Linked DNA regions of Saccharomyces cerevisiae S288C. Changing the gene in region 3 together with the main gene of any one other region gives a genetic interaction. Each region holds a gene or a part of one and is shown on either strand. Other genes may lie near its edges.

Evidence for each region. A genetic interaction does not mean that the proteins touch.
Region 1: mutations in HOG1 (region 3) and SCS7 together harm fitness more than expected from each alone (negative genetic interaction), as found in Saccharomyces cerevisiae (5 studies listed by BioGRID, with this or other methods).
Region 2: of HOG1 (region 3) and SKO1, a mutation in one rescues a mutant of the other (synthetic rescue), as found in Saccharomyces cerevisiae (5 studies listed by BioGRID).

What each region holds. Positions count from the first base shown.
Region 1 is NC_001145.3:809,123-813,202, forward strand, and holds SCS7 (fatty acid alpha-hydroxylase), read right to left. Parts: upstream 1,656-4,080; coding exon 501-1,655; downstream 1-500. Other genes in the region: YMR272W-B (uncharacterized protein), read left to right, coding at 1,967-2,074; ZDS1 (Zds1p), read right to left, coding at 2,111-4,080. UniProt on the Saccharomyces cerevisiae protein: Ceramide hydroxylase involved in the hydroxylation of sphingolipid-associated very long chain fatty acids. Postulated to hydroxylate the very long chain fatty acid of dihydroceramides and phytoceramides at C-2.
Region 2 is NC_001146.8:318,916-323,904, forward strand, and holds SKO1 (Sko1p), read right to left. Parts: upstream 2,445-4,989; coding exon 501-2,444; downstream 1-500. Other genes in the region: BNI5 (Bni5p), read right to left, coding at 3,304-4,650; YNL165W (uncharacterized protein), read left to right, coding at 4,917-4,989. UniProt on the Saccharomyces cerevisiae protein: Binds to the CRE motif 5'-TGACGTCA-3' and acts as a repressor of transcription of the SUC2 gene and most probably other genes.
Region 3 is NC_001144.5:369,022-373,890, reverse strand, and holds HOG1 (mitogen-activated protein kinase HOG1), read right to left. Parts: upstream 2,272-4,869; coding exon 964-2,271; downstream 1-963. Other genes in the region: YLR112W (uncharacterized protein), read right to left, coding at 2,681-3,100; YLR111W (uncharacterized protein), read right to left, coding at 3,168-3,500; CCW12 (Ccw12p), read left to right, coding at 3,793-4,194; thioredoxin peroxidase AHP1, read right to left, coding at 4,580-4,869. UniProt on the Saccharomyces cerevisiae protein: Proline-directed serine/threonine-protein kinase involved in a signal transduction pathway that is activated by changes in the osmolarity of the extracellular environment.

The DNA of each region.
Region 1 (4,080 bases), on a different chromosome or scaffold from region 3:
AGAAATGATTAGGTATGAGGTACTCTTATAGTATGTAGAATTTCTGATTTGCTTATGTGTTCATTTATTCTCGAGAAGAACCCTTAGTATATTCTGTGTCCTAATATTACAAAAAGTCAATGAGAGTCTAGGGACTATCAGATAACTTCACTGTGCTCATCTTGATTCCTGTTCTAACGACAGTAACACAGGATACGGTTAGTATTTTTTTGCCAACCTGATCTGTGAAAGAAAAATGTACCTGTCAATTCGGTTCTTTTTTGAGGCCGCTTTTTCGTATAGTCGTCATCGATTGGATATTCGTTTAAGAAATAACGTGCTTGTTCATCGATTTCATCTATGATTCCATTCCATGTGTATGTATATATACGTAGTTACATATAATAATATAAATAAAGATTTGAAATAAATATGTCGCAGAAAAGAACTTTGCTCAAGATTTCATTGCTCGTAATGTTGTTTTTCCTAGGTTGACAATTTTGGACGAGGCTGACCAATAATTATTCATATTTCATTTTGGACAATGGGGCATCGGGGCCTAAGTAGGTGCCAAAAACTTCGTCCCAAAACCAGGATGTGACGCCAAATCCCAGTTGGTAGTTTTTATAATGATGTTCCAGGTGATATTTTTTCAACTTACGCATGAAGGGAGGCAATTTAGAGTGGTGCAAGAAGAAATGACATTCGTCATAACAGACATAACCGAAAAGACCGCCAGCAAAACCAGCGTAAGCCCAATAAAGTGGCAGCAGAGCAAATACCAACTTGTAAAATGGAGCACAAAGGATGACGAACAGAGTAGGTGGCATAACTAAACGGTACTTGTCCATGGGCAAGTAATGATGGCAACCATGTAGTAGAAAATGTGTGGCGAATGCGATGTTACTTTCAGGTAACCAATCATCGAAATGAAATAGGAAACGGTGAAGACCGTATTCAATCAAAGTCCAAACAAAGACACCGACACAGAACAAGAAACATGCAAATAGCTGGTTCATGTTCTTCAAAGCAACACCCATGTGGTACACAACTACAGGCAACCAAGCAACTGGAACAACCCACCAAGCTGTTTTAGTTAATGGTTCCAAGAAATTACCAAATAGCGGGGCAGACCCCTTACCGTAATGTCTTGGTCTATGGATTTGGTCAACGTAAAAATCTTTCTTGAAATCACTACGCAGAATCTGCATCAGCAAAGGACGGTTCAGATCCAAAAATTTATGCTTTTTGTAGTCGTTACTGTAGTCCGTAGCAATACTTAGTTTCTCCTCGGCGGGCAACTCCTTTACAAAAGTAGTGGAGTCAAACTCAGTACCGTCAGCTGACAACTGCACTTCAACCTTATGGTTCTTGTTAGTCAACAATCTCGCTGCCTCTTCGTCAGTTGCCAAGTAACCAATCAAATATTCGTCCTCAAGGATTTCATACGCGGAGTCGCTGTGTTCATGCACATCTGAGTCTTTCATGATCTCAGTAATGTCCTTACCAGCATAGTCCAAGATGGACTCGTCACCACCAGGGTGTTCGCTCAAAAACCTGGTCACGTCATAAATCTTTCTGTTTTGATAAGTGACCCAGCAGTCATTGGCAGTATTGTGTTCTTGTACCGTCTTTTTTGAAAACAGTTCCAAAGTCTTGGAAGTATTAGTCGACATCTTCGTACTAGTTTTAGCTTACCACCGCTTTTAGTGCCTGCCACGATAACAATAGAAAAAAAAACTAATCAAAGACAATAGACACAATAGCTTCTACTATCTAATACCTCTGTTCTTATACGGTTCCAAATTGAAAAAAAAATTAACTGCGAAAAGATGTCACACGTCAGTAAATCCGCGCAAAACCCCGTTATATTTCCGACGTCGTGCGGTAGTTTCTGCGCGGAACGGCCCCGCGGAATAGGCACATTTTCTTCCGGCCGCAGAAAGCTCTCTTTATCAAAAGCAAGACTGTTTTCGGCTATTGTATTATGAGAAGTTTGGTGTTTGTCCAACTTTCCCTGTTGTCCTGGGAAATATTCTGTGGGGAACGTAGCTTTGTGAGCATGAAAGCTATCTTTTCGTGTATGTACGTGTGATGTGTATATGTCTATGTATGCAGCGCTGAAGCCTTTTCAGGGTTGTTGTTGTTGTTGTTGTTGTTGTTCTTTGTCGTGGGCTACCTGCTCCATGTACAGAGTGTGATTAACCAAGTTCAGATAAGCATACATGAAGTTACTTAGTAATACCTGCTCGCGCAGTCCCCTCTTCGAATTGCTCAATTTCAAGTGACTCAGCCGGTATATGGCCCTTTCGACGTTAATTGGTAGACGGTGGTCGAACATGATAACCGTAGACACTGTCAGCAAAGGCAGTGGGAACCCAAAGGCACTGTCTGTGAATTGAACCGGGGAGTTTGGTTTGTCAGGTTTTTTGACGTCTGCAAATGTAAGCTTTCTTGGGGGCAATATGGAGGTATGTTTCAATGGTGGTGCCGCTGGAGCCTGAGTTTGAGCTGAAGCTTCAACTGGGGCTGAAGTTTGGACTGGGGCTGAATTTTGGACTGGGGCTGAAGCTTGAACTGGGACTGAAGTTTGGACTTGTTCTTGAGCTGGAGCTTGTAGTTGAGCTTTTTGCTCATCGGTATTCTCCTTTTGGACGTGTTTGGAGTGTTGTTGGTTGGAAATTTCTGTCGTATTGCTCCTCTTCTTGTTCTTTTTCTTTGCCTCCTCTTCTTCTCTGTCTCTAGAGTTACTTTTGGTACTACTTACACTAACGGCCGGCTGTAGTTGGGGCAAGCTCTCGGAATCGCTTTCCTCTTTCTTTTCTATCTCTATTGCGCCTTCCAATTGTGGTTGTAATGGTATCTGCTGCTGCGGCTGAGAATCTTTAAGGGTTTTTACGCTTATTTTTTGGGAACCATGACGGCTGTGATGGTGACGGTGAGGACGAGGGCGATTGCGCAACACAATGGGTTCAACCGGCTCCCTTCCACTTTTGTTACCAAGCTTTTTGCTTTTCCTCACGCGAACGTGCACGGCATCGTTATTTGGTATTGATGGTGACGATGATGGTGACGACGAGGGTGATGATGATGCATCATGCTTGTGGTGTGGCTTTCTTCTGAATAGGTTCGCAAAAGTTTTCTCGATTTTCTGTCTTGTCTGTGATGTGGCGGTGGAAGTACTTGAATTGTTCATTTCTTCTTTATTTGACACCTCCGTCTTCTCACCGCCATTAAATAGAGAAATATAATGTTTTTTGGAATTGTCGAGCTCCATTCTTTGTGAATCCACGTTTTCTTCATTTTCATCGTCCCCTTGGTTTTCTTCGTTATCGTCTTCTCTGCTCATTTTATTGTTCAACCATGTCCATCCGTTTCTTCGACGATGTCGCTTCGTTTCTTTGTTGTCATCCGTTGCGCTTGGCTTTACCATGTCTGTTGTTCCCTCTCTTAACTCTAAGTCTTGTTCTACTGTGTCATTTCGAACCTTGACGGGTACCTCTTCGGCTTCTTTCTCTATTCCCATTTCTTGTTCCCACTCGCCACTAGACTGTCTGTAATGATTATAAATGTCTTGAAAATCACCAATTGACCCAGGCGAACTCATATTCTCAGAATCCTCATCTTGCTGTCTAAAAGGGGATTTGTGCGGATCTATTTCGACCTTTATTGTATTCTTGGTCAATTTTAGACGTTCTTCGTCGTCGTTTTTCATTTCATCCACACTTTGTTCTACTTCTTTTTCTTGCTCTTGTGACCTGATTCGATAAGTGTTGAATCTACTCCTTCTCAGTGACGATCGTTCAGGCCATGTCATGGTATTATTGATGGGCATATTGGAGGCAAATTCACCATCATCCAAAGTATTCGCTTGTGAAGTTGAAAAACCAATATCTCCTTCATCATAATGCCCTTCCGGTTGTGGTTGATCTTTTTTATCTGAATATGAACCAGCCATACTAAGAGTTCTGGCTAATGTAATGGCATCATTGTCGGTTAGTCCTGCACTATTTGAGATCTTTGTCAGTTCTTCAGTTATATCTCTTAACGACACTGGTCTCTCTTTTATTTTGGAGATTCTTTCTTCGACTTTATTTACTG
Region 2 (4,989 bases), on a different chromosome or scaffold from region 3:
ATCTCTTGAAAGCGAACAAAAAAACGTGAGGCTAAGGAAGCTATTTAGGAAAATAGACGAAAAAGGAATGGCAAAAGAAGGAATGGCCCTTTCAAAATAGGTATAAGCAGCACAGCTTGATACATGCTAGGGTTGCAGCAGTATAACTGTACTCTCTTTATGAGCGTAGTGAAAAGACGGTGAAATTATAACGGTATGCTCTATGAAGAATAAATGCTGTAGGAAAATTTACGATAATAAAGCCTTTATTGTTGTTGATCAACAAAAGGAGGCTTAAGCAATTGATAAACTTCTGAAAAGAAGAACCCTATTAAAGTTTATATCAAATATAGAAAAAAAAATCTTGAAGTTACATAAATACAGAAAAAAGCGGGAGAATAAAAGGGATTTCCTCTTAAAAGGAACTTTATAGTGGAATATTTGCAATGAGAAAAGCGGACAGGTTGAAGAGTACGAAAGCATCAGATAGAAGACTATTTAAGAACCCCGTCGCTATCTCGTCAATTATTGTGAGGTAGAGTGGATAGTACATCATGCTTATTAGTATCATGGGTATCGGAATTTGCATTTATTACCAATGGATTAGTAACAGAGTAGCATGAATTGATTATATTCTGTGCACTATTTCCCACATTATTAGTAGTTGTGTTACTTTTGCTGATATTTGCTCCAGAGTTCAGTGAGTATTTTTTATCTAGAATTATTGGTCTTGAATTAACGGAAGGATAGCCCGCATTTTCGCTTTTGACAACGTTAGTGTCCTTATTGAAGCTGTCTTCTTGGCCATCCATGTCGTCCCTTGGGTTTTTGCCTCCCCTTCGGTAAAAATTCGTTTCACATATCAATTGCTTCATGTTTGATAATACTGACATTGCACTTGAATAATCACTCCTTGAAATGCTACTCTCTAACAATGCTATTAAAGATGTAGATGGTGGTGATGATGATGACGGAGTTGAAACATTCACATTGAATTGGGAATTCGAGGAGCTTGAGGGTATTATGCCGCATAGCTTCCCAATGACCTGAGTTAGATCGTCATATTCAGATTCATAGAATTGTAGATCATTTTCAATTTTCTTGATGTACTCTTTCTTTCTTTTTCTAAATTTAGATGCAGCTACTCTATTTCTTTCTAAAAACTCCTTTCTTTTTCTTTCTTGCTCTTCATTCTCATCAAGTGTTACGTTGTTTGAAATTTTATTATTTTCAACATCATCTTTTTGTGCTGGTGCAGTCGTAACTGCTGAGTTTTTTCTTGATATGGAATTTTTTCTTGAAGCCTTAGAAGTAGAACTTGTGCTAGACATCCTTCTCTTTCTTTTTCGTGTTTTGTTATTGAACTGGTCATTGTTCTCAATTTGAGTCGTTAAATTTTCATTCTCCTTGTGATTATGAGCGGAGTGCTCGATGGCATTGAACTCTGCCGGATTATCCATTTTGACAGCCGCTTTCGTTGAAGTATTTGGGGAAAAATTGGAATTACTGATGCTGTTGTTGACGGTACCATCTGTGGTATTTGTTGTAGGTGTTGATTTGAATACTGGATTAGCCAAAACTCCAGTAGATGGTAAGTTTAGCAGAGAACTCAATCCCGGCGTAAGTGGTGTACCATTTACAGTTGGGTGCATTATATTAACATGAGGGTGGTTTTCAATACTTCCATTCACTGTGACACTTTTGTTGACATTTTTGCTACCTGTTATAGTATTTTTATTAATTGACGGCAATACGGGATAATTGTAAGATTGCGTAAGAATACCGGGTGTCAACCCGGTCCTGATATTGGACTCATTAGGTGTCAACCCAGATTTGGACAAGTTTAATAAAAAGCCAGGCATTTGTGAATCATTCGTGGGGAAGCCGTTACCAGAATTACTTGTGGTCACGTTCGAGTTTCGTGGCTGGCGTATAAGTGAAGTCCCTGAAGGAGAAGAGCTGTTTGGATACAGAGATCCGGAGGTAGAAGAAACGCCTATTGCACTAGGGTTTGAATTAGAGACTGAAACAGAATGTGAATTCTGACTGGGATTCGTAGTTGAATTTGCCTGATATAAAATAGAGGGAGAAAGGAGTAGAGGTGGTAATCTTTTCGACCCACCAGGTGTGAGAATAGGCGGAGATATTATAGTAGGTCTTTGTTGGCCTGGTAAAAAACTAGGTGAGTCTTTTTTTACGTCATTATGATTACTATTATCTGTAACGGTTGAATTCCCATTTTCTTCTGGAATACTGTTCAAACTATGAGTGGAACGTTGGGAATGTTGTGTTATCGTTGAGGTAGAATTGTTTCGTGAAAGCTCTTTTGGTAGAGACGGATGGGAGATCGTGCCTGGAAGTGACAAAGCCTTCTTGGAAGAGGCGAAGCTTTGTTCAAAAGGATTGGGTTCTAAATCGAAAGTTGAAACAGTACTTGGTTGTCTCGAGCGTTCCTCGCTTGACATAATGATTAAGCAGGGTCTAGAGACTGGGCAGGTGTATTTGGAATGCAGAAATTGAAATGAAAAGAATGAAATAAAAATAAAAATCCACGAATTGATTAAGGAACTTATCAAATAATAGAGATCGGTAAAAAGATAGGAATCTAATAAGTGGAAAACTCACTTGAATAATAAAAGAGTTTTTCTCGATAAGAAAACACAATTCACTTTTACGTTGAACCCCTTTGGTAGTAACTTTTCTGAGCTTAAAACCACTCCTGAGCGTTGGCAATGTAGCACCAAATTATTGTGTTTCTGGAGAACAAATTAGTCTCACGTATCAGTAACCAAACTTGGTCCTTTTAACTGGAAAAATGTGCAGTTTGTTTCGAAAACCATCACCGTATGACTGAATTCATTCTATTCAGCCCAGTTAATTTTCGTGATTTTTCCCTTCGATTCTACTTTTTTCCCTCTGCGACAAAGTTAGCAGGGTTATCGCTAGCGCGGTTAAGTACGACTTGGTTTATGAAAGTTCTTAGAGAAAAGAAGACACAACGCCATTGAAATTGAATTCTGGGTACTGTTATTGTTCCGTTTCATGTTATTACAATATAATTGACTATCTGAACATTTTGTCTTCATTTTTTTTTTTTTTTATTATCGTTTTGTTTACGTTTAGGCGAAATACTCACCTCTTTACTATTAAAATAATAGAATTTATCAGAAAAAAAGTCAGCAACATCAAAAATAACAGATGGATGGCTCTAGGATAAAGGATTCTTATTCTCTTACGATTGTCTATGTTCTTTTGGTATTTATTTTAACTTTATATATCTGTCTTAATTTATAAATATTTATAACAACCCTTGGCGTAATGTAATCATTTAGTTCCAATCCAAAATTGGCCATTTTCGCCACGATCAATTTGCTTTCTCAGATGTCTACTTAATAACACTCCGACCTCATATTTCTCCTTCGTTTTCTTGTCAAGATATTCTTGAAGCTTCACTACGGCTCTATGTAGTCTCTTTCCGTCTTCCATAGATAAAGAACCCTGTGCATTCATCTTGTTTAGATAGTCAATTTCCTTTTGTAACTTAATGCATTTCATGGATAAATAATCATGTCTTTTTTCCAGCTTGGCAATACTGCCCAGCTCAGACGCTGATGTGATAGGAGAGGAGACTGGCGAATCATACTTATTTAGTGAAGATTTACGACTTCCGTTTCTTGAATTGGAATTGCTGCTCACCGAGATAACTCTGAACGGATTTGTAGGGCGTCGTGTCTCGAAATTCGCCATTTTTTTCTGTCCATCACCATCTGAATTAAAGTGATTTATATTGGTACCATCTTCTTTAGAATTCTTTTTAGGGATAAAAATTTTAGTTTGAGAATCTAAGGGAGTGCTTCCTCCAGAGCGATTGGGACAATTCTCTGAATTATCGTCATGGGGTGTTTGATCAGCTAAACGGCTGCTCTCATGGTTGTATTCATTGTCACCTCCTACAACTATGGTTTGCGGTTGTATATCTAGATCCTTATTAGCGGAAGAAAATTTGTCTAATACAAGTTCAGCGTCTAACTTGTTCTCACCGCCCAAGGTGTTATTCTGGGGCATGGGTGATTTGAAAGATTCAATCTCACTGTTTTCCTCTGTTCCCTTATCTACTCGCCCCTCTTCAACATCCGATTTTTCATCCTCCCATTCATCATCATTATTTTCGATAATTTCAACATCAGCTTCACCCCTGTTTTGATCTATATTGACTGTACCATCTTCTTTGTTCTCAGTGCAGGAGTCCTTTGCCTTTTCATTTCCAGCGGAATTTGCGACAAATGAATTATAGGAGTCACCAATAGCAATGGCGGTGTGAGTTATCTGCTCTTTCGCTATAAAAGGTTGAGTAACCGATAGCTGGGATGGGTCATCCGTACTCTTATTCGCTTCATTCTCAGTGGGAATATGGACCTGTGCGGTTTTGTGCTCTTCAACCTGAGCTGAATCTCCTGGGTTACTATCCGCTCCATCATTGCCACTAAAAAGAGCCGTTTCTGCCACCTTTACAGCGTCGACCACACCCGTATCCTTGACATTATCTTCGACAGCTTCGTCCTCCGCAGGTTCAACTAATTGTAAATTTTCGTCAATCATCTGGTTCATCTGGTTGATATCTATCTCTATTTGAGAAAGCCTCTTCTTTATCTTGTCCTGGTCCAAGCCCATCGTTTCTGTTGTTCTATTTCACACTAACATAGCATCACCATAACAGTAAATCAAATTACAAAACTATTAATGATTTTTGTTTATTATGAAGTTTGAATTTTCAGCGCAATATTTATTTCATAACGCGTCTAAAATGGTCTGGGTTCTGGGCATCTCTAAAGCCCTTCACTACTAGTGAAGAAGAAGAACAAGTAAGGCTTTTGGAAAAGAAAGAGCATCAAATTGAACGATAGGAGAAGTGCTACATACATTTGCCAAAGATCCGCATGGATAGAGTACGCTCTTTGATTGGAAATCGCCGGGGACGCCGACATAATCGCCAACATCCTCCGTATCCTC
Region 3 (4,869 bases):
AAGTAAAATTATTGATACCTTTTGCAGAGTCTTATCTTCTTGAGGACTACTCGTAGGTTATTCTGTATACTTATAACCTCTAATAACGCTAAGAAATTGTCTCCATATCAACCTATTTCTCAAAACTCAATAAACTAAGATCCGTAGTTCTGTATAGTACTGAAAGTGTTCCTATTTTGGTGTCGTATGTTGCCATTCATTATTTTTAATAAATGCATTCCCACATCCACGAAATTGAAGACTTTTTGAAATTTGTTCTATTAGACATATGGTTTATATCTTCACTGTTTATAATAAATAGCTCCGTTAGAATTAATGAATGAGAGCATAAATACAAAAAATAGAAAAGATTTTGATATTACATAGAGCTGCTGATTCCTTTTATGAGTTCCTAATTTCTTAAGGAGAAGTTTCTGCCACAGTCCGTGAATGTAATAGTTATCTTCAACAAGAATGAGATTGCAAAAGACTAAATGTGGTAAGTATACGCTTGTCTGGGTGAGACAGCTATTTAGCAAGTTCTCTTTTTCTGCTTCAACTGTTCTATTTTCTGTATTTACTTTTTTTTTATATTTTCTCCGTATTTATGAAAATTCCTCTTCGGTAAAAGCACAGAATTAGACTTGAAATGTAAACAATATAAGACAGACAAACCTTTATCGAAGATAGAAGTGCTGATAAACAAACAATACGCCATAAGTGACGGTTCTTGGAGTCTTAAAAAGGTCTTTCTTGACTTTTTAGTTTCCTTTTTCTTCCAGTTTTACAAGAAAATCCAATGCGGTTAAAACAGAAAAAAATCATGATCGAAATACGTCCACTTTACTTTGTAATTGAGTTTTATCTTTTTTTTTTTGTTTCCTCTATACAACTATATACGTAAATACTTTTATGAGTACCATAAAAAAAAGAAACATCAAAAAGAAGTAAGAATGAGTGGTTAGGGACATTAAAAAAACACGTTTACTGTTGGAACTCATTAGCGTACTGTATGGCCTGGTTACCGTAGTCCGTAATGGTGTCATTTGCAGCTACATGATCGCTGACTTTGTTTCCACCAGCTATATCTGAGTGATCATTTCCAGTAGTGCCAGCGCCATTATGCGAATGCGCAGCCATGTTTAACTGAACTTGAGCCTGAGCCTGAGCCTGTGCCTGCGCCGCGGCAGCGGTGGCTGCAGCAACTTGGTCATCAAACGTGGCAGATATATCAATCTGTCCATCACTGCCACCAATCTTATGGAAGTCTAGGATTTCTGAGTACATCATAACACGCCAGGTATCGACAGGCAGATCAGCGTCATTAAAGTGCCAATCGAACTTGGCATCGGCTACTGGTTCATCCGTTGGATCGTGGTAAGGAGCCGAATAAGGATGAGCCAAGGCATCCGCCGCAGTGATTCTCTTCTTAGGATCAAAAACCAGCATTTTTTCCAAAAGGTCTACGGCATCAGGTTCGACTGTTTTAAATCTTTCAGAAAATGGAATTGGATCTCTGTGTGGTAACGAAGTAACAAATTTTAGAGTATTTTCGGAACAAATAGTATTTATCACATCCTTTGGCGGAGATCCCAACAAGTCAGTGATGATCGAAAATTGGTGAACATGATCTTTCCCAGGGAACAAAGGCTTACCTTCAATCATTTCGGCAAAAATACAACCAGCGGACCAAATGTCGACCTCGACGTCATATTTTTGCCACGTTAGCATGATTTCAGGTGCCCTGTAGTATCTAGTGGAAACATAGCCTGTCATTTGAGGGTCTTGAATTCTTGCTAGACCGAAATCGCAAATCTTCAAATCACAGTTTTCATTAATCAGAATGTTGCTCGGTTTCAAATCTCTATGAATGACGCCCGCGGAGTGAACGTATTTTAAACCCCTTAGAATTTGGTATAGGAAATACTGAACAAATTGCTTTTCCAAGGGTCTTGTTTGCAAGAGTCTATGTAAATCTGTTCCTTGTAATTCCGTGACAAAATATATATCTTCCAATGGAGAAAGAAATATGTCCTGAAGGCAAATCAAGTTCTCGTGTCTTAGATGTTTTAGTAGTTTTAGTTCACGATATGTCCTTTTGGCCAGCACTGCAGTGGAAAAAGGTTTCATGATTTTCTTAATGGCAACTGGCTGAGATGTCAAAGTGTCCGTGGCTGAGCAAACCAACCCAAATGCCCCCATCCCAACGGGGTTTAAATCATTGTATCTATTTGTGATCTCGAAAACTGTACCGAATATCTGTGTCCTAATGAATTCCTCGTTAGTGGTCATTATTATATACGATAGTTGTAGTTTTCCCTGTTTTCCCTTTGTTCCTTTTTTTCGAGTCTAGTATTTACCAATATAGAAGAAAGAGAAAATAAATAAGGTTTCTTGTTAGAGATTAGTTACTTTTGCTATTATTATCGCAAATTCCTCTTCCACTATACAAACAAGAAAGTAATTACTACTCTTATTGTAAGATAGTATGATAATTTCGACGATAGATAATATTTGCTTTTCGTTGGCCTTTTCTTTTTTTTTTTCCTTCCTTCCCTTCGAAGATCCTCCCGTATAATAACGCCGCCAGACCATGTAGGGTAACCAGAGAATACGCCCACTCCGCTTTCGCATGTGGCACTCCTGTATGTCAAAATGCCGAATAATCTCCATCCATGACGAAGCGCTTTGAGGTGTTTAATTATATACAGGGCAAAGTCTTGGAGATAAAGAACGCTTTCCTAACAACTTGCGCTATTCCTCTTATTTCCTTCAATCGATTAAAATTAACTTTTAATCGACATTGTCTTTTAAACCAGGGCAAAGCAAAATAAAAGAAACTTAATACGTTATGCCGTAATGAAGGGCTACCAAAAACGATAATCTCAACTGTAAACAGGTACAATGCGGACCCTTTTGCCACAAAACATACATCATTCATTGCCGGAAAAAGAAAGAAGTGAAGACAGCAGTGCAGCCAGCCATGTTGCGCCAATCTAATTATAGATGCTGGTGCCCTGAGGATGTATCTGGAGCCAGCCATGGCATCATGCGCTACCGCCGGATGTAAAATCCGACACGCAAAAGAAAACCTTCGAGGTTGCGCACTTCGCCCACCCATGAACCACACGGTTAGTCCAAAAGGGGCAGTTCAGATTCCAGATGCGGGAATTAGCTTGCTGCCACCCTCACCTCACTAACGCTGCGGTGTGCGGATACTTCATGCTATTTATAGACGCGCGTGTCGGAATCAGCACGCGCAAGAACCAAATGGGAAAATCGGAATGGGTCCAGAACTGCTTTGAGTGCTGGCTATTGGCGTCTGATTTCCGTTTTGGGAATCCTTTGCCGCGCGCCCCTCTCAAAACTCCGCACAAGTCCCAGAAAGCGGGAAAGAAATAAAACGCCACCAAAAAAAAAAAAATAAAAGCCAATCCTCGAAGCGTGGGTGGTAGGCCCTGGATTATCCCGTACAAGTATTTCTCAGGAGTAAAAAAACCGTTTGTTTTGGAATTCCCCATTTCGCGGCCACCTACGCCGCTATCTTTGCAACAACTATCTGCGATAACTCAGCAAATTTTGCATATTCGTGTTGCAGTATTGCGATAATGGGAGTCTTACTTCCAACATAACGGCAGAAAGAAATGTGAGAAAATTTTGCATCCTTTGCCTCCGTTCAAGTATATAAAGTCGGCATGCTTGATAATCTTTCTTTCCATCCTACATTGTTCTAATTATTCTTATTCTCCTTTATTCTTTCCTAACATACCAAGAAATTAATCTTCTGTCATTCGCTTAAACACTATATCAATAATGCAATTTTCTACTGTCGCTTCTATCGCCGCTGTCGCCGCTGTCGCTTCTGCCGCTGCTAACGTTACCACTGCTACTGTCAGCCAAGAATCTACCACTTTGGTCACCATCACTTCTTGTGAAGACCACGTCTGTTCTGAAACTGTCTCCCCAGCTTTGGTTTCCACCGCTACCGTCACCGTCGATGACGTTATCACTCAATACACCACCTGGTGCCCATTGACCACTGAAGCCCCAAAGAACGGTACTTCTACTGCTGCTCCAGTTACCTCTACTGAAGCTCCAAAGAACACCACCTCTGCTGCTCCAACTCACTCTGTCACCTCTTACACTGGTGCTGCTGCTAAGGCTTTGCCAGCTGCTGGTGCTTTGTTGGCTGGTGCCGCTGCTTTGTTGTTGTAAACTTAGTTTATTATTATTTATACATTCTAAATTTTTTATAAACTTTTTTGGCATTTAACAAATATATAACAATTGGGATTTAGTAGAAATTCTTTTAATTTCTTCTTTTTTTTTTTAATCTATATTTATTCTTTTTCTTTAATTTTGTTCGAAACGCATATAATGTTTTTATTGATTTTGTTTCAGGTTCCTGAACCTCGCGGAGTTCCTATTTTACTGTTGTTTTTTTTCAAAACACAGGGGTACCTTGAAGTATACGCAGTGCCTCTTAGCCAAGGATAATATAAACACACTAGAACAAAAAAAAAATACTCCTTGTACAGAATCGTTTTCTATTTTGAATTTTTTTTATATAAACATGGTTTTATTGTCTATTACATAGCATCTACAAATGAGCCAAGACACTTTCGACTGAGGAAACGGTCACATCGGTACCTGGGTTGGTTTCCTTGGCAGCGTAAGTAACGATACCGTTTTCAACAACCATGGCCCATCTACCACTCCAGTAAACACCGTCACCGACGGCTAATTCGAAACCAATGGATTTGGTGAAAGCACAGCCTGGGTCGGAGGCAAACTTGATGTGTGTGGTGTCCTTAACACCTAAACTCTTAGCCCACGCTTGGTTAGCGAACGGGTTGTCAACAGTAACAACGATCACTTGGTCAACTTCCT